Linked DNA regions of Styela clava. The protein of the gene in region 2 purifies or fractionates together with the protein of the main gene of each other region. This does not show direct contact. Links are inferred from orthologs where the notes say so. Each region holds a gene or a part of one and is shown on either strand. Other genes may lie near its edges. The genes, in order: U3 small nucleolar ribonucleoprotein IMP3-like and U3 small nucleolar ribonucleoprotein MPP10-like.

Evidence for each region.
Region 1: the proteins of U3 small nucleolar ribonucleoprotein MPP10-like (region 2) and U3 small nucleolar ribonucleoprotein IMP3-like purify together in Homo sapiens (affinity purification with mass spectrometry; 4 studies listed by BioGRID and IntAct, with this or other methods). This does not show direct contact. The link is inferred for Styela clava from reciprocal best matches to the Homo sapiens genes MPHOSPH10 and IMP3.

What each region holds. Positions count from the first base shown.
Region 1 is NC_135256.1:9,271,076-9,279,969, forward strand, and holds U3 small nucleolar ribonucleoprotein IMP3-like, read left to right. Parts: upstream 1-5,489; 5' UTR 5,490-5,596; coding exon 5,597-6,142; 3' UTR 6,143-6,755; downstream 6,756-8,894. Other genes in the region: transmembrane protein 26-like, read left to right, coding at 214-364, 445-642, 707-885, 1,639-1,763, 2,210-2,532; cation-dependent mannose-6-phosphate receptor-like, read left to right, coding at 6,782-6,948, 8,227-8,506. UniProt on the Homo sapiens protein: Component of the 60-80S U3 small nucleolar ribonucleoprotein (U3 snoRNP). Required for the early cleavages during pre-18S ribosomal RNA processing. Part of the small subunit (SSU) processome, first precursor of the small eukaryotic ribosomal subunit.
Region 2 is NC_135252.1:8,335,202-8,345,883, forward strand, and holds the start of U3 small nucleolar ribonucleoprotein MPP10-like, read right to left. Parts: upstream 4,052-10,682; 5' UTR 3,973-4,051; coding exon 3,579-3,972; intron 3,120-3,578; coding exon 2,613-3,119; intron 2,167-2,612; coding exon 1,984-2,166; intron 1-1,983. Other genes in the region: m7GpppX diphosphatase-like, read left to right, coding at 5,435-5,594, 5,750-5,898, 6,194-6,334, 6,756-6,891, 7,128-7,216, 7,293-7,410, 7,485-7,627; uncharacterized protein LOC120342339, read right to left, coding at 9,478-9,503, 9,593-9,725, 10,081-10,224, 10,399-10,491. UniProt on the Homo sapiens protein: Component of the 60-80S U3 small nucleolar ribonucleoprotein (U3 snoRNP). Required for the early cleavages during pre-18S ribosomal RNA processing. Part of the small subunit (SSU) processome, first precursor of the small eukaryotic ribosomal subunit.

The DNA.
Region 1 (8,894 bases), on a different chromosome or scaffold from region 2:
ATTTTATTGCGACTTTTCTGTATTTAATCAATTCAATTCACCATTATAGTAAATATCGATATATTTTTTAATGACCAATATTCATAGGACATCAGCGATTGAACAACTTCAACTAAAGGTGAGTTCATAAACGAACCGTTAGAAACTCCACCCATTCTTATCCAACCATTAAATGGATTTTTGCGAATAATCCAGTGTGATTCTTTTCATCAGGTTCTCTCCCGCTATGTTCTTCTTTCTCGTTGCCGCATTGCCCTGTCTGTGGTTATTGGAACTTCGACTTATGGAACAACGCTACGACAAATTTAACGGTGTCTATCAATCGTCACATTATTTGCTTTCAAAGCAGAACACACTGTTCGGGGTAACATTTCCACTACTCTGCAACTACTCTCGAGTTACCAAAACTCATGTAAATTTAACGCACTAATGGTTTATTTTTAGATTAAATTGCCAACATTACTCGACGAATTTGGGTGGGCTTTGGCATTGGAGCAGTCACTGTTATTCATTCTCATCTGCTGCCGAGGTATACTGCCACGAGGAAAAATTTCTAGAGATGAGTTATCTCAAATTTTACTGGTGCACATGGGCATAGCAGCTGATATTTTGGACCTATTTTCGATTTTCAATGAAGAAGAGGTAAATGTTTAACTACAACTATATGTCAGAGATATTTCAAAAATTTGAACGACTTTTCTTTCAGTTACTTCAACGACCGACTATTATATACCCAACGTTATCTTTATGGACGTTGAGCTTACTACAATACAGCCTCGTTATTACCTCAAGTCGATCCCGAAGAAATAGAATGGCTGGGATCAGTATCAGAAGGGGAGAAAGCAGCAGATCTCGGACCTGTGCAGAACCCCGTGGTGGAAGACGGTAAGACAATTACAAAACCATACGTGTATACATTTTTCGGAATCAATTGCTTGTTTAGTAGAGAGAAAATAGGACGACTCAGAAGATATGGTAGTTGTAGCCGAGTTGCGTCTAGTCATTGGTTCGGTTTCGTTGAGATGATATAATATGGGAGTACGTAATACCCACCAAATATATATGTTACTATTGACCACTTTTTCTGTTATTCAAAAATAATATTATCTTATATCTGCCAGTAAAACGATTTTCAGCTTACAAATTCAATATGTTCGATGTTATTATTTCAAATTCCTTCCAAATTTTTATTACATAAAAATGGAAGATTTCTTGTACTGTATATTCTTTGGAGGGGTGGTGGGTCTTTTTTTCATCTTGATTATTTATCTTTCGTTGTGTGATGTTTCTCCTTCTCCTCTTCCAAGAGTAAACTTCTTACAACCAGCAACATTTGACCTCATGGAAATAGTATCAACGTACATATATAATAACAATATTTCTTCTAACGATACTCCGTTGATTGATTAAGCAAGATGAGCTTTAGATTATAACTATGACACTCCATTAACGACCAAAAAAATACTAGTTTTTAAGGTGGATGAAACTCTCGAAATGTTAAATCTTTAATTCCGAAACTAATGAATGCTATACATTTGTGAAGTTTGAAAATTTGTGGCTTCATAACGGGAAATTGCTTGGGCAAATAACTCTTGAACGGGTAAAATGGCAATGGTGGTCTTCATTTTTCTTTTGCAGGCGCGTTCGGAAATTGGGGTTTTGGTCTAGCGATTTCTGGTCAAACAAAGACGTTGTCGGGGTGCTGTCATCAACCGCAATGCAGGATCTACCTTTTTTTATATTTCGCCTCTTTCTGTTGTCGGGTAAAATTTTGCTTACTTACGAACACTTAAATATTACTTTGCCTCGGTTTATTTTCCCGTGGTAGTAATTTATTGATTATATTCAATATACTATAGTTTACAATTGAAATAAAATATGATTACGTACGATGGTACGGACCGACCACTCACCTTAGCAGGGTGGTTACGTGGTGAAACTGAAACAATAAATTAGTAAAATGAGTATTCCCATATCCGACCAGCATTGGAACGTGGTTCATACTCTATCGAGAAATTAATACAAACGATCTTATTCTTTCTAATTGTAATATAATATTTTTCCAAATACTTCAACCTATTTATTTTTGCACAAAGTTAACGGAGTGAAATGATTATTTGATTGCATAATCATTAAATACCTTGCTATTATTACTATCAGACCTAATATTTGTAATCTGCATCACCAATATTCGTGTCTTAATTTACAGTTATGGGAATCTTGAGCCACACAATGGCATTCTTTACTTGCAAGAATGCCTTGGTTGTTGTTCTTCAAATCCACCGCCTTCGTATTATATATTCGGAGATTAAATACGATGGTATAGAAATAGCAAGAGCACACTTGGAAAGAGATGGAATCAGTGTTGTTGAATTAAATCGTGCTGATATTGTGGAACGGCTAAACAGTAGGAAACCAACCCATGAGATGGTGGCTACTTCAGATTCCCTTGAATTGCCAGGTTTACCTTCAAACGAGCATGAACTGCATTGTGATAATGATACATACTCCACTGACGGAAAACCATCGTGAAATATTTCCTGGCGCAGGCAGTGAACTATTATTTGTAGGCCTACAAACTTCTTATTGTGCATAAATCTAAGATTAGACGATATCAAACTGTGGACGTTTTCCGTACCATTGTTAGTCATTTTTAAACTCACGGTAACATAAAGTCGCATTTAATAATATCATCAGTGTTTCCTATAATATTTTACTTTATTTTCTAAGTGCATCCAAATTTATTGGATTTGTAATGTAACTTAACATTGAGATATAAATTTTATAGATCAGAATGAAATTTTATTTCATTATTTTTTGGTAGTTAAAAACCAACAAGAATATAGTTCGGTTCCCAATGCCCATTACGCTAATTAAAACTTTGTTTTGGTAAGGTGCATAATTATAACTTTTGTTGGAATATTGTATATATGACCAAAAAGGAATGAATGCTACCCTAGTGATACTCATATATATATATATATATATATATAAAGTAGGCTACCAGGCTACCCCATCTATGTAAATTTAAACTTTCCCACCGCTGTGTTGTTTTATTCTTGTCGTTAACATGTGCATTTTCTGTGGGACAAATCTATCGATTCATATATTTGCTTGCGATCGTGGGCAACCGTATAGCTGGCGTAATAATAATTGGGTCAAGGAATTCCCTGTCGGGGTGGTACTAATTAATCATTCCTAATACATTAAGCCTTATCGCGTGTTAGCAAGCAACGTGGAATCTCAGATAAAATATTATAATGTTTTCTGAAATTAACCTTGTGGATGTTTTTCCGACCCCCCCGGATGTTTTCTCACATAGTTTACCAGTGTGGTGAAAAAGTTCGATGCTTATTTTGAGATTGAATTAGCGAGTTAAAGCATGTAAACGGGTATACATATTCATAAGCACAATTTTGTTTCAAAATATTTAATTGGGCATTATTTTTTTTCAAAATATATTGTATTGATTAAAAAATGTTGAGTTTTGCAATGTTCAGCTCTAACAACTATAACTAATCGATGACCTTCTGTTACTAATATATTTTCGCTACATTCATTTACATTTTCTTGACCTCCTGAAGTAGGCTATGCGCACCAAGATGGCGCACATCCTGGACTTAGGTTGTGTACCAGGTTAGGGTTCAGGTTATGCGACATCTTGGTGCGCATACTTCCGGATTACCCATTTTCTGCTATATCTGCAATTATTGATATCCAACCTACCGGTATGTACACTCTTGACAAGTCAGTCATTTTCTTGATCAATGACTATTTATATGATGTGCGCCTGCTTAGGGGCCGATCAGTTTTATGTGAATTTATTTCCTTTTCATTCCGGTACCTGCTACACTACACTGCTTTTATGCATAAATATATTTTAAGATAATCTACATCTGTACAAGCTGATAGACTACCGCTACCGTAACGTTGTCATGTACCAGTAGCACAATGCACAGTGTCAGCTAAACTCTTGAATTGAAGTACTTGAACCTGGTTTTCTTCGTCACTGTGCATAGCTAGTCGCTACTACTTCACATTGTAACCATGTGGGCGGCTACCGTGTTTCCCCAAAAATAAGACAGGGTCTTATTTCAAATTTCTTTCGAAGGGCTTATTTTGGGGGGATGTCTTTTAATTTATCAAAAACAAAATTACAAAATACAGAATTGCGAGATTTTCAAATTTCAAATATACAAAATATGAAAATAGATATCCATTTACTTATAAATAAGACTTATATTAGGATAGGATTTACATATTTATCCCAGGGGAGAGGAAAGCCGGTAATTGTTACGTCGCCTCTATGTTGTTTCTGACTTGACTGCGACACATTCTGTGCCCTTGGCCACAAGTTTTGTGACTACCAATGATTTATCCATGGGTAACTTTTAGACTTTCTGAGAATTGTTTTTCTTAGTCCAGTATTGTTTAATATATTCGAGTGCCTCATAAATTTTTATAGTCTTTTTATGCGGGTTAGTAGATCAGCATTTCTTTATTTGACACTGGAAAAGTAAAAACTTGCTTATGCGTAAAGGGGTTTGCCCATCGCGGAGGGTTTGCCCATCTGCGTCGGTAAGCGAGTTATCCGTCTGCAACGCCAAACTAAAAGTCCTGGTTGAGAGCTTTAGTCATGTTTTCCTCAAGATTTTGTTTCTGGAGCTACAAAATGACCGAAAATGCGTTGCTAATGATGCAAATATGTGAATCATTACCGCACACCAAATGATGTTGGCAGGTTTGGAAATATACTGACGTGAAACCCATTCTAAATAATCTGTATCCTGCATACAACGTCATTAGTTCTCAAAGTCCAGCTCTCCCACGAACGTGCGGACATTTTGCTTGTTACTTATCGATTTTAATCGGTAAGTATGTTGATAGGTATTTGTCTGTTTGTCTGTCTGTCTGTCTGTCTGTTTGTCTGTCTGTTAGATGTAGGCTAGGCGATATCTCACGAAAACGAGATTGGATCTGCAGCAAATTTTGCATGTGCATTCATCATATCTCGTACCTGAGGCCTATTGATTTTGGGCGAATTGTGTCGTATAATTAGCGAGTTATCATTTAATTAGTAATGGGACACAAGGTGTCACTATGGAGTAAGAGCGCTGTTTTGAATCCCCTAACTTTCGATCGATAAGTCTTCGGTCTCTGACCAACATTCTCGTTTTCCTTGTTATTCTGTCTCTCCCGTTCGACAAGATGTTCCTTTTGCGTGTGCGTTATTGTACATTCGTATGAAGATAAATAAATCAAAATCTGCGGTAGTCATTTCATATCCATGCCAAGGTCAACGATGCGTTAGTATTTATGTACGTTTGCTCTGGTTATATAGCGCATACATCCAGACCGATCCAGACCAACGATTAACATATCAGATTAGACAAATGGACAAGCCCACCATCTGTTCCGCATGATTTCACATTTGATGAACATGCACTGAACTGGAAATATCTATATCTCTGTGTGAACATGTCAGAGCTCGTGATTTCCGTCGCCAGATTGTGGAATCAGCGTTTCGTTCTGTGGTGAAGTGTACGGTGGATTCTGTTTGTCATTATTTGATCGCTTCGCGTAGTATTTGTCGACCATGAGGCAGTTGAAGTATCACGAAAAGAAGTTGTTGAAAAAAGTAGATTTTTTCGCTTGGGAAGCGGATAACAATCTTCATGAAATAAAGATTTTAAGGAAATATAGGATACAAAAACGAGAAGATTACACGTCATATAACAAATTGAGTCGGCATGTGCGATCGATAGCGCGCAAACTAAGAGATCTCGAAACCGATGATCCTTTTAGAGAAAGATGTACTGCAAAATTATTAGATAAACTTTATAGAATGGGATTAATTCCTACGAAAGAGTCACTGGCATTGGTGGACAAAATAACGGCGTCTACATTTTGCAGGCGACGTTTACCTGTCATGCTCGTTAAGTTGCGCATGTCGCAGAATTTGAAAATGGCCACGGAATTGATTGAGCAAGGACATATCAGAATTGGAACAGATGTTGTAACAGATCCTGCATATTTCGTCACTAGAACTATGGAAGATTTTATAACATGGAAATCGACGTCTAAAATACGAAAGCACATTATGGAATTTAATGACGAAAGGGATGACTATGATTTTGCATAATATGACTGAAATGTGTTAGAACCTTCAATACTCTCTTGTGTTGGTGCATCAACTCTAACACAGAACGGGGGTGCAAGATTTTCTGTGATGATTTTTCATTTACAAAGCTTTTTTTGCAGCATTGGAAGCATTTATATTGATTATAACAATAATTTATTTATCAATGTAATGTTTCAATTATTTGCAAAATTTCTAGATATATTAATGCCATTGTCAAGCATTACTTTTTGGAGACTGAATATTGTTTGCCACAAACATATGTAAAAACATTGTACACAAAAACTCAACGATTAAATTATTGTAGAATGCGTTATCAAAATGTAGTTTTTTTGTTTTACACTAAAATAGTAGCTGAAAGTAATATTGCAAAATCATATTTTGAGTTTTTGTAATAATAGAATAAAATAGGTATTTTGGGATTTGAACGCCATTTTTAACTACAAATATGCTCGAAAGAAGTGCTCTACTCTGTTGTATTACAGATCCTTCAGCCGCTATTTTTATTGTGGGGTTCTTCAAATTCAAGTACTGACTCGTGTTAATAATGGTCTGAATCGATATGCGTTAATTGATTTAGAAAATTACTTTAAACTTTTGATCAATATTTGTTTAGTGTATTTATCACTATATTCTTCACATATGAAACATTACGAGATGGATGCTTTGTCAAACCTCAAATTGTTGAAGGTACTTTTTCTGCTTAGTTTTGGATATACTCTTATTGTTGCTGAATGCACGTTAAGTGCCCAAAAAGATTCAATATCCTCACGACACATCTCTAGTTTGGATCCACTCAAAGACAAAATGTAAGTTATGCCTAAAATAAAGATTTTGCTTTAAAGATTTCATGAAATAAAGACTTTCCAAATACCTCTTAGTCCAAGGTTGCGAGGTTGAAGGGCCGCAATCGGAGAAAACCCAAAAGTGATCAAAACATTGCGAGTTTACTCACTTTAAATATATGCATGAGAGTTTATTGTCCTAATCAGTTTTTCATGGAAACAATATGAAACCTTTAGTTATTTTAAAATTGCTTCAATCAATCAAATCGTTTTTATCCGCCTTTTCGGAAAAGCACAATAGAATGAAAGCAAGAAATATCACGGAATATTTGTATATATTCATGCCTTTGCACCGAATGGACAGGATAGGGCACCTTGAAATGGCTTAAAACTTATGGATGCGAAACATTTTTATGGAGAACAGCATCGCTCCAAGATTTTTCTGAGAAATATCAGGGTAGTTTTGGTATCTATCCCGTGTTTCGTTTTGTGAAGTCGCTTAAAATCATATTCTTTCGTGACAGATATTATTTGAAAACACACCAGACACTGTAGTTTAACATTGTTGTGGATACCAAATACGTTTCCTCCCAGTTTACCTCAGTCACCTTTTTTTCTACACTCATTGTATGATGAATTGTTATATTTGAAAAAATTTAATACTAGCAGGCCTAAGTTCGGACCTCGAACCCAGTGATAAAAAAAAGTGGATCGCTCTGTCAGCTCTGCGGTTTGTCACTGCTGTCAGATGGCCAACGCTTGAAAATAGTGGAGTGTTTTGACTAAAATAAAGGCACGAAATCATCGGCTTGGTCCTGTGTGCACAAGACAATTCATTCCCTATTCACAGATCACAGAATGTCATCCCCATATGGGCATAATCTTGACGTTTATAGATACAACAATGAAATTCTGTGATATTAACAAACATCAATCCCGATATCGGGATTAGAAAAATAACTATTCCCAGTTGGAATAGTTTGAAAATAAATCAAAATTGTTCTGCTGAAGATACAAATATCTGCCAATGGTTTAATAGTGTACGCTAAAATTGTTCTTCGGCCAGAGGGCCGCAGTTTGGACGACTCTGTGTTAGATCAATCGCTCTTTTGGCCTTTGCGAAGGAGTATGCTTAATAATTTTCTGATTTTCTCCCATTAGTAATTTCCAAATTCACTTTTTGAAGTGCCTCCATTGTCTAAGTGAGAATGTCTAAATTATATAGTAGGTGTGGCATAAATACATTGGGGATGTGTACATTTAATAAACGTTCAATCACCTTGGATTTCTCTATATTTTCAGATTCACCTATAACTTCAAGGATGAAAAGGATCGCGAAGTGTATAAATACACTCTGTCAATTTGTTCTGAAATCAAACCCGGAACAAATATTGCAGTGACACAAGAAGACTTAGTCGACCATAAAACTAAAACCATAGGAAAAATTGACCAAGCTTCAATAAAAAGGGGGAGTAATTGGATAATGCTGACTTTGAAAGGAGGGGATCCCTACCATACACACTGTGGCCATAGTCCACGACAGGCACATGTCATGATTATGTGTGATAAATATCATTTAGCAGTGAGTTCAACTTGTATGTTATTTAGGGTGACCATACGTCCTCCTTTTGGAGGATTTGTCCTACTTTTTTGTTTAAAAATTTATGTCCTCCGAGGACGCTCTGAAACATCAAAATGTCTTCCTTTTTCAAGGGATTAAATATTTAAAATTCTGTTATGATATATATTCTACCGTTTTCGATGTGTTAAGAAAATTTTAAACCAAGTAGAGACTTGTAATTATCATTAGACATATGAAAAGCAATAAATTGCGTTGTGATAGCATATCATACGGGGTTACTCTACTAGGAGTCTAGATTAAATGCATACGCTAATTGTTATACACACTCGTTTATGACGTAAAAAGTGGATTGTTCTGCAATTATGTTTTACGTCATTTCACCTTATAT
Region 2 (10,682 bases):
AAGATGCGTTGGAATTACATACCAAGAACTAGAGCTCGACCGATATCACTTTTTGGCACCGATACCGATAACGATATATCGGCCAACTAGTGACCGATAACCGATATCGACATACCGATATCTACAACCTGAACCCGCAGTAAATACAAATAGAACAAAAAAAAATTCAGTTTCAGTCAATCAAAAGTTTATGTTGAAAAATAAAGCAGTCCTACAAAGTGCTTGCATCATTGATAAAAGTTTCACAGCAATTAATAAGAACACACATTAATGCACAAAACAGAAGGCAAAGTTTGAAAAAACCAAGCACAAGAGAAAAAGGGCAATCAGTAAAAAGCTTATAGAAGTCCATTTTGATCCATACAGTAGTAGGTGGGGACTAGGCTTGCACGTAATTTAGGGAATTACGTAATTCTTTCGAGTTACGGCAAGGAAGTTACAAATTACGTAAAGTCGCCACCCCGTTTGAGTGTTTGGTTTCACGATCAAAACGATATTATTATGAGCGTTATCACCGTAACGCAATTAACACCGACAGACTTTTTTGTCTTCACGATTTGGTATCTTTTTTATTCCGCGCTGATAACGATAAATAGGAATGTGTGATAGTTGATTGTAATTCCGGAAGGTGTATTTATCTCTCCGTGAAACAGAAATTAAACGAATTTTACCGCCGCTATGGAGCAAAGGGAGAGAAGGCTACTTTCTTTTCCCGACTCAATCACTTTTATTAATACAAATTACAGCACATTAAAAAACAAAATAGAATTTATTATCATTAATTTACAACGAGTTACGAGTAAGAATTTACCGCCGGCTAAATAATTATTATGTGATCTAAATTTATCGCAAATGTTATAACATTTAGGCCGCGAAAGGATTTGATATAAAATGAAGCTTGGTAATCGGAATATCGTCAATAATTCAGCATCAATAATTTTTGCAAAATGCTAACTAGGTAGCAAAGTCGGATAATGTAAAAAACAGATCAATAACAGGTCTTCGTTGCGAGGCAAGCGCAGGTATAATCAAACGAAAGAATACGCTCGTCGTTGATTAATAACTTGGAAACCCGAAATTTTTATTCAATACGAAAGTCGATTTTAAAAAAGGCAACTATTGTTTCATAAATATCCGTATACCAGTGTTGGTAATGATAAAATTGATCGCATAAAATTGGGACGGTTAATTTGCGAAAGTGATAAAGGAAAATCAAATCAAAAGATAAAAATCAGAATAAATTTAATTTGAATTCACTCCTTGGTATTTGTCTTTAACATCTGTCGCCGGCGTGTAGTACTGTCGGTGATATGAAAACCAAACTTCGATGTCCCATTTGGAAAAGAAGTGGATTCAATTGGTTGTTATGATAGGTTTAAATGCGTGAAAAAATATCGCAATTACGGGGTCATTACGTAATCGATTTTTTTCCGTAATTACGGAATTGATTTTTGTCGATTACGTGCAAGTCTAGTGGGGACGCAAGATATTCGAAGGCGAGGATTTTGCGCCGCACGAAGAGATAAAAGAGAGAACTCTCTGTTCATTGAGAGGCAAAATGAGAGAAGCGAAAAAAAGAAAAAGCTCGGCCGCAGATATTTCCCGGGGGACTCATTTTTTAGAACGTGGAAAAGCGACTAACGCTGATATATATCGGCAAACACGCAATATCGGCCCGATATATCGGTTGGCCGATATATCGGTAGAGCTCTCAAGAACTATAATATGGATACTTAAAACAATTTTACACCATTTATAATAGGTTCTTGATTATTCAAATTGTTTATATAAATAATAATACATCTAAGCATTTGGATATGCCATTTCATGATCTTGAAATGGTAATTGTATGCTTTGGATAATTTAATTATGGCCATAATACAATACAGATACCTAGGTAAATACAATAGAGAACATCTAAAACAAGTTGGAAACAAATTGAATTTTTTCGAAAGTAGAGTATTTTTTTTTATTAGTAGTTACCATCAGGTTTATATTTTCTCTCAATGTCATCCCAAGCACAATCCATGATTCGTTGTTTGATCAAACTTTCAAGATCTTTAGTGTGTTCTTCTGTTATATCAATAGGAGGTCGAGCAACATGATCGAATTGAACCATTTCTTGCAGTAAACTATTTTCTGGTCTTGATGCAGCTTTGACTTCCCCTGTATCGCAAAATAATAAGATCAATAAATTATGTAACTGAAATGAATATTTCACCAATCTAACTTAAGATGTCATAATCACAGATAATCAAGTAACAGTTGGTAAGAAAAAGTCAGCTAGAGCTCTCTTTACGATACAAGCTTAGAAAAATGCACATAACGCATTCACCTAAAAATAGCTGACCACTAAAATGGAGGCCAGGGTTAGCTAAAACAAACTCCCAGTACTTCACATTCCAAATGGGTTCTTATTAAGGAATACTCGGTGCTAATTTGGTATATGATCTCAGTGATTTTAGTTGAAGTTAGAAACTGAATTCTATGAGAATTTCTTTATGAGACTGACCAAAAAGGCACCATGATTAGTGCTGTGCGTTAAGCAAGTGAGATTTGCATACCAAAGTGGACAGAATATTCTTTATTATAGAATGAATAAAACAGTTTACCAGTCATTTGCCACTCTGCAGGTGCCAATGCTCTTTCCTCTAGTATTCCAATTTTCTGTGATATTTGTTTCTGATGCTTTTCAAAATGAGATTGTTTTTGATCTTGTGCATTGTTTCTATCATCAATTTCAGTCTCAGAAATATTTTCATTTCTATTTTTTATTGAACTAATAGGTTCATCAAAATAATCAGAATATTTCAAGTTTCTTGATGATTTAATCTTGCTTGAATATTCTTCATTCTCATCTTCAGATGAGGAAATGCCATCAGATGGAATATCTTCAAAATAGTCTATGTCGCCCTCTACCGGCTTCTTTTGTTCTAATTCATATTTTCGATCTTCGTCTTCTAAGAATTTTTCCATTTTACGCAGACTGAAAAAATCATCGTCCACTTCAGTCTGCTCCGTTACTACATCATGTTGATTGAAGTCTTCTTCTTCTTCTTCAGTTTCTTCGTCATCTCCTTCACTTTCTTCAAAATGGAATCCTTCCACGTCGCTTTCCGCTAAATATATTCAATTTTGATTGTTAAATTTTCTTGATATCAGTTTGACTTTTAATACAGTTACAAATAAGAATTTGAACAACATTGAGATGAAAACCAAAGGTGAGCCTAGCACTATAACTGTTTGCAGTGGTCTCTGGCAACCTTTATAATCATGATCTCTCAATTTTAAGTTTGGTCTTTGCTTGGGACTTATATTATAGAAAATATACATCGAACCCCTCTCAAACAAATGCATATTTCAATATCTTCCAGCTGTACAAATTAGAATTATGGAGAATATTTTGTGCTGGACAACAGAATATAATAAAATCATACCTCCACTAGTCATGTATAGTAAATAGTATTGTAATCATTGATATTAAAAATATAAATTACCTGATGAATCAGTATTGTATTATATATATATAGGCTACAAAGTAAAAAGTGTAAAACGAATAAAAATAATGAACCAATCACCTTCTGGTTCCGCTTCTCCTTCAACAGGTTCTAATTCTGACAAATCATCATCTTCATCACCCGTTTCATCATCACTTTCATGTTTCTTTAACATGAACTGGGAAATGTCCTGAGAATTAAAATATTCGGCTGCTTTAAGACAAGTTGCAGCTTCCTTCTTATTGAAAAGTTCAATTTCTTGCCAAATCTGCTCATGATCAAAACCTTCAATGATAAGTTTTGGTATTGGACCTGATCGTGATGAAATTGCTGATGATTTATTAGAATCATAAATCGTCTTTGATAATAATTTAAAATTGTCTGACACTTCTGTACATCCTTCCAAAAATGGCAAAGGTGAGGATACGAATTGCTCAAAGTTTGATTTCAATTTTGTGAAAAAGTGTTCATCCATGATTGAGTTTGAACTTCAACTAATGCTGTATTTAATTTCCTAAACTCTACAACTCATCTAATAAAACTGAAAAGTTATGCAAAATATATTAAGTAGAACATATTACAGTATTAGTCTATATGCTATACGGAAATTTCACAGTAACGTGGAATGAAGTATTGGAGCATTATCATTCTAGTGTGAGGCTAAATTTCTGCAATATAGGTCTATGCAAGTATTGCTAATATATTGGCTTACGATCCAGAAGTATTGTTAAAATATTCACGAAAAGCTTTGTGATATCAACATACACTTGTATATCAGTATATACGTAAGTTTATTTCGACTCCATAATCAGCATAACAGGCCATAAAGTGATTGATAAAAACAAATAAATAAAAACTGATTTATGAAATCCGGACTTGTACACCATTTAACTCAACTTTTTTGAATACTAGATTATACCATATATCTATATATTGTAGCTATTGATAACATTAATATGCCTTCTCGAACAGATTCAGATTCAGATTCAGATTCAGATATTTTATTTCTATCATGCAAGAATTAACACAAAATTTAAAGCACGAAAAATTGACAAACGTGTATAATGACAATCGTAAAAAATTAAATATACACATCAGAATTCATACAAGTGAGAGATTCATAGCAATAGATAAGGAGTCGCGAAAGACTGTGACAGTCATCGAGTCAACGACACCTGTGGGCTGGAGATTTAGAGGGAATGACAAAAAAAAATTATACAAATTTAATTAATCATAATTAACAGAGAAACAAAATACCACCAGAGTAATAATACACGCGACAGCGCCCTCGTGGGGTTCAACTGTGCGTTCATGGACCGTAACAAGAAATGAATGAAGCTCGTTGCTAGCAGCGATCAAAAGCTGGTTGTTGTAGCCTACTGAGGCATATTGGATACGAAACGTAAGGACCATTTTATTAGTGGAGTAGGATCACACAAAAAATAACTGGATATGGTAACAGCAAGATTTCAAGTAAATCGGAATTTGTACGGAACAATATCCCATCACAGTACCGGTAACAGGGCGAGGCATCAAGACCGGAAGGGTGCCGTACGTTACGGAGACTAGCCTACCGTATATGAACGTCTATATACTGATATAACCAATACGCCAGGAAAGGAAATCATATTATTTGAAAAGCTGACGGATCATCACCCAAAGTATTTTAAAGGATTTTATCGTACCGGTCCCTACATGCAAACATGCCTAAGGTCATTGTGTGAGATTCAAACGTCGTTTGCCACAGGACAAATCCTCTATTGGCACACAAATACGCCAACACTCTCAGGTTATTTATCTCAGTTGATTCGGTGTATGGTATGTCTTTCATGCGCACGCTTCAAGGGGTCATGACCCTGGAAAGTACCAAAATTAGTTTTCTCGTTTAAGCATATTGTGGTTGAAAGGTTGGTGTTTGGGTTCGCCGAAGTTTGATTATGGGTGAAGAGGAAGATGAACCATCGCCTAAATTAGCTAAGATTGATGTGGAGCTACATCCTTTCCATCGATTGAAAAATCCAGTCGTCCTAAATGAAGTAAAGGAAAAGAAACTTGTATTTCTCCATGGAAAAGTTGGAGAAGACAACAAAGACGCAGGTTAATTTTATTTTCAACATTTACATTTCATGGCTTAATTAACTTTATGGTTTATGTGTAACGCAATAAAAGGCACTCCAAAATACCTTATAACAATCACCTTTTAAACATTTTTCAATTTATTTAAAAGAGCAATTTATCTTCTTATTTTCTAGTTGTAATATTGGAAAAAAGGCCTTTTGACACATCACCAAAGGGCTTGAAATCTCTATTTTCCGAAGAAACAAAGCTCCGCCAAGATTTATTAAATGATATCTACAGTACATATGCAGCAGTACCCACTTCACCGCACACAGAAATTAAGGTAGTCTACTTTAAAAATGCGATTTCATCTTTGCCTGATGACCACTTCAACCTTTTTTTAATGGTGGTGTTGAGAGCAAGGATAGAGCATTCAAATAAAAGTAAACTTTCAAAAGGGAGTTTGAATGAACTTGACAATTTGAATGGTTTGGGATATGAAATGTATTTAACGAGTTATATGTTCGAAATTGAGTGCTTTGAAGTAATGTACTATTAATAATAATTGAAATCATAAAATGATATTTTTTTGTTTTTTGCTTCTGTCAATTATTATTATTCTCATCTGTTAATTTTAGACAACTGTGATATATCCAGCAACCACAAAGCACATAGAAAAATACACAAAGCAAGAAGTTGAAGTAATAGAGGAAACTGGCGATGACTACAAGCAAATCACACTGCCATATTTGAAAGAAGAAAATCGATTCAGTGTGCAAGTATGATTAAAAGCATATGAAAACAAAATTATAGGTTTCATTCAGAATTGACAATACCATAGAGCAGGTGTGTGCAACCTTTAATACAGGAGAGGCACATTCAAATAACTGGGAGAATCCGTGGGCCACACCTTTATATAACATAATCTTTAATTAATGGCAAGCACAACAAATTATTTATGACAGGCATTGTTTGCTTTGCACAAGTATAGTTTTGCATGCAACTTATATGAGAAAAGTATGTTGTACATAAATCGTAAATAGCAGTTGGAAAATAATTTTTCTTTTTATATATCACCTATGTAGAACAATTGCAATAGTCTGATCTTTTTACTTTTATATAAAAAAGTATGTTTTTATATTTCAGAAATAATAATATTACATAATATTCCCATCTATTTATGGTATGTTTTTTTCACAGTGGGTTTTCAACATTCTGGATAAGAAAAGCGAATCCGAAAGGATTGTATTTGAAGATCCTGATCCTGAAATAGGATTCATTCTTCTCCCCGATATGAAATGGGACCTGAAAGACATAGAATCATTATATCTGATGGGTATGCAAAATTTTCCTTGTTTTTGTTTGATCCTCACAATCCTTGAAATTTAATATTTTGTGTAGCCAATTTTAGAGAATAATTTGTATATTCATTGCTTCTGATGGCTGCCATATGCCACAGTGGGATTTTCTAATGGTTATCACATATGGCTTATTTATGCTGGTATTTTAAGGATTAACATCCCAAATAACAGAAGCTTCTTATATGGTGCATCACATATTTTTTCTTCCCAGCTCTTGTTCACAGACATGATTTAAAGTCACTTCGTGATTTGAATAAAGATCATTTACCACTACTGAAGAACATAAAGCAACGTGGAGAGGTGACAATTTTGTTTTGGAAATCAATTGAAGCTTATTAATAGAACAAGACTTAAGGACGATTTTTCTTTTACGTAGGATGCAATACAGGAAAAGTATGGAGTGAAGAAACACAAGTTAAGAATATATTTCCATTATCAACCATCTTACTACCACCTCCATATACATTTCACAAACATCGCCTTTGATGCTCCAGGTAACTAAACACAATCTCAATATACACCTAACAACATTCATCTTCTGTTTCTTTCTAATGTTATTCATTTTCAGGATCGTCTGTAACCAGAGCTCATTTACTGACGGATGTCATTGAAAATATTGAATTCATGAGCGATTATTACCAGAAAAAAACCATGACATTCGTTGGGAAGAGAGATGATAAGCTTGTTACGGCTTTGCGAAAGACGCCATAACAGAATGAAAAGCCATTTGGTTATCTCAGCCTTGACCGATTATCCCAAAGTCAAGACAAAAAGGTGTATAATGCTTTTGGCATTCATTTTTAACCACAAGATCTCAAGGATTGACGAAATCACAGAAACTGCTATCTACAACTTTGTGTTTTATCCCAGAAGACTTAAGACATGAAATATTTTGAAATAAAATTTTATTTTGCAACAATAGCAGGTCATCTACAAATCGAACAATGCTGATACCCTTAAACATTAAAAAGTAAAGTATTACAAGATCTAAAATACTAATAAAACAAGTCTTTTATGATGACCAGCAGCAGTAATTCAATTTTTTGTGTATGTGCAATTTTCCCTACATCTGATTGACATTTGGGTTACAAAAATATTTAGACACCTTGAGAATATAAATGGCAAAGTAAGCAATCTATTTCATGTTCTTCAGCAATAATTCACCATGGAATGAAGATGAGCAATATTACATAAATTTGTTGACGATTTATTAACACCATATGGGGGGGAATCTTACTAAAAAAAATAAAAAGCCAATCATATCGTAGTTTATGTATGGAAAGTTGAAATAAAAATTCACACTACAAGAATGTGACGTAATTTGAGATAGCGTATTTTAGAGTGGGACATCTTATTGAGTAGCTACGCTCATTTTTTCTAGGGTCTGTCAAGCATGATTTGTGTTTTATATTCCAAGCCGAAGGGTCTGCCGATCACAGCTACTGTGAATTGATTATGTACTCACATGTAATATATCTCTTTTTTTTTTTTTAAAACTTACTTAAAAATTAAAAGGCTACGCCAAGATGAAGTGATTTGTTCTGCCCATTCAGGGATGAAATGACACCAGACTGCACAGCTCAGCTGTTAACTAACCCATTAACGTACAATGCAGTACTTATCACATGTCAATTCTGTGAGTGTGCTGAACTGACCAACTGAGAAACAATTTTTTTGCCCTCCCTTATTGGATGGTTATATACTGAAACGGATAGACTCATTTGCTAGGGAATGCGGTATTTTTCACATTTGGACAGTTACCAATAAGTCTATGAATACAATATAAGCATTCATTGAACAATGCTTCGTGTCACAAGCTTAACGGACCCAAAATTTCCCACATATTACATGTACTACAAGTATTCCTAATATGACATATATGGAACAAAAAGAAAACAAATAAATTTCGACACTAAAATAACAAGAAGTAGAGACAATCACCACAATGTTGAAATACTTGTGCAATTCCTGAGCAGCAGTATGATTAAACAAGTTTATGTATCATGCGTGTTAGTTGTATACAGATATTCATATGATTTTGTGACATAAATTGAAGGCAAGTGTACGGATCTGATGAAAGTTGAGATGTTGGGCTTAAGCACATCAATTCTAGTTCTGATATTAAAATATTCAGCTAGTAGGGTTTACGATTTATTATTTGTTCTCAGTAACCACAAAATTCTCTATTTGAATCATTGTTGCTGGGCAGTCAGCTTCCCGCAAAAATGTCAAAACGTTGTTATGCAAGAATCAGCTGATGCGAGTAAATGAATTACAGAACCTGAGTTCTGATAGTGGGAGAACAGAACAAAATTAGTTGAGCACCGATTTATATCATAAAGAACAAGCAAATTTTATAAATCTATCATGTCTCTTTCCCAGCAAAAGTAACAAAAACACATTTACAGCTTAAAAAATCAGTAATTGGTACCATAATAAAATTGCAAAAACTTCAAACAAATAATTGAAATCTGTCATATCAAAACATGTTTCATGCTATTGTACATCTCTTTCTTGTACCTCCTCCAGTTTTGTAAAAAATACTTCTTAACGCCCAAAGATTATGTTGACGAAATCGATCCAGAAGCTGAAAAAAGAATTCATGTTATTTGCCACTTTTTGAAAACAACTCTAAAGAATATACTTGAAAAATGCCGCTTTTTAAACATATCTTACATCCAATGCTTCCTGTGCCATTGAAACCAGTAGCAGTTTTTGGTGCAGCTGTTTCATTGAAGTTTAGTTTTTCATCGTATATCTTCACATCACCTCCACCTGCTATATGATCAGCATTCTCCAATGATCCCACCTTTGAAAGAAAACAACTAATATTGGGAAGAACTGCACGAATTAGGGAGATGGCTAAAATTTGCCAAAAAAAGCCAGATGTATGCATCACTTGGTTAGACTTGTTGAATTCATATGGAATTTTAATACAGCATTGTCACCAGCAAACTTAATCATGTATCCAGGCATTCTTCGACTGTGCCGCTATCCGTATACCCACCACAGATGTCAAATTTCGAGCGCTTTTTACTAGGACTTGGTTAGTTCAACCTTCGAATAGGTTAAGATGAATTTTCATTCAGCTCAGAATTGCATTGCAAGCATCTCCTGCACTCAAATACTCAAAACAATAAAGTGATTCAACACAAGTTGTATACCTTTGATTTTGCAGTATCTTTGAACAGAGGTTTTTCATCAAAGATTTGTACATCTCCTCCACCAGCAATATGATCCGCATTATCTAACGAACCACATTTTGATTTAACGTTTGTCAAATCGAGCGTCTTGCTGACAATTTTAACCTAAAATTTAAAAAAATACATATTGGGAGAAAACCATCACATTGACAAAACAGTGAAGATTAGCAAAATAAATTATTTTCTGAAGAATACAGATTGATTTTGACATACCGGTAATTTCCGCACCCAACTCTATATATCTTGCAAGCCTTTTTCCTATCAAACAAAGAGATTTACCTTTCCTCCGCCAGGTGTGTGTGTTAGATTGTCCTTGCTTCCAACTTTCGACTGCACCTTGCTGGTGTCAATTTTTTCATGATGTATTTTGACCTAAAGGAAAAAAAATAGAAGCCGGTTTTAAAACTAGTTTTGACAGCAAACACTAAAGATACAGTTGCTGCTTTCTTCATGGTGCAATGTCTATAATGCAAACAATATATCACATCCAATTTGTGCATAATGTTTCGTGCTTGAAGTTAACTCCAAATTAAAGATCCACCTGTATATATTAAATGATTATT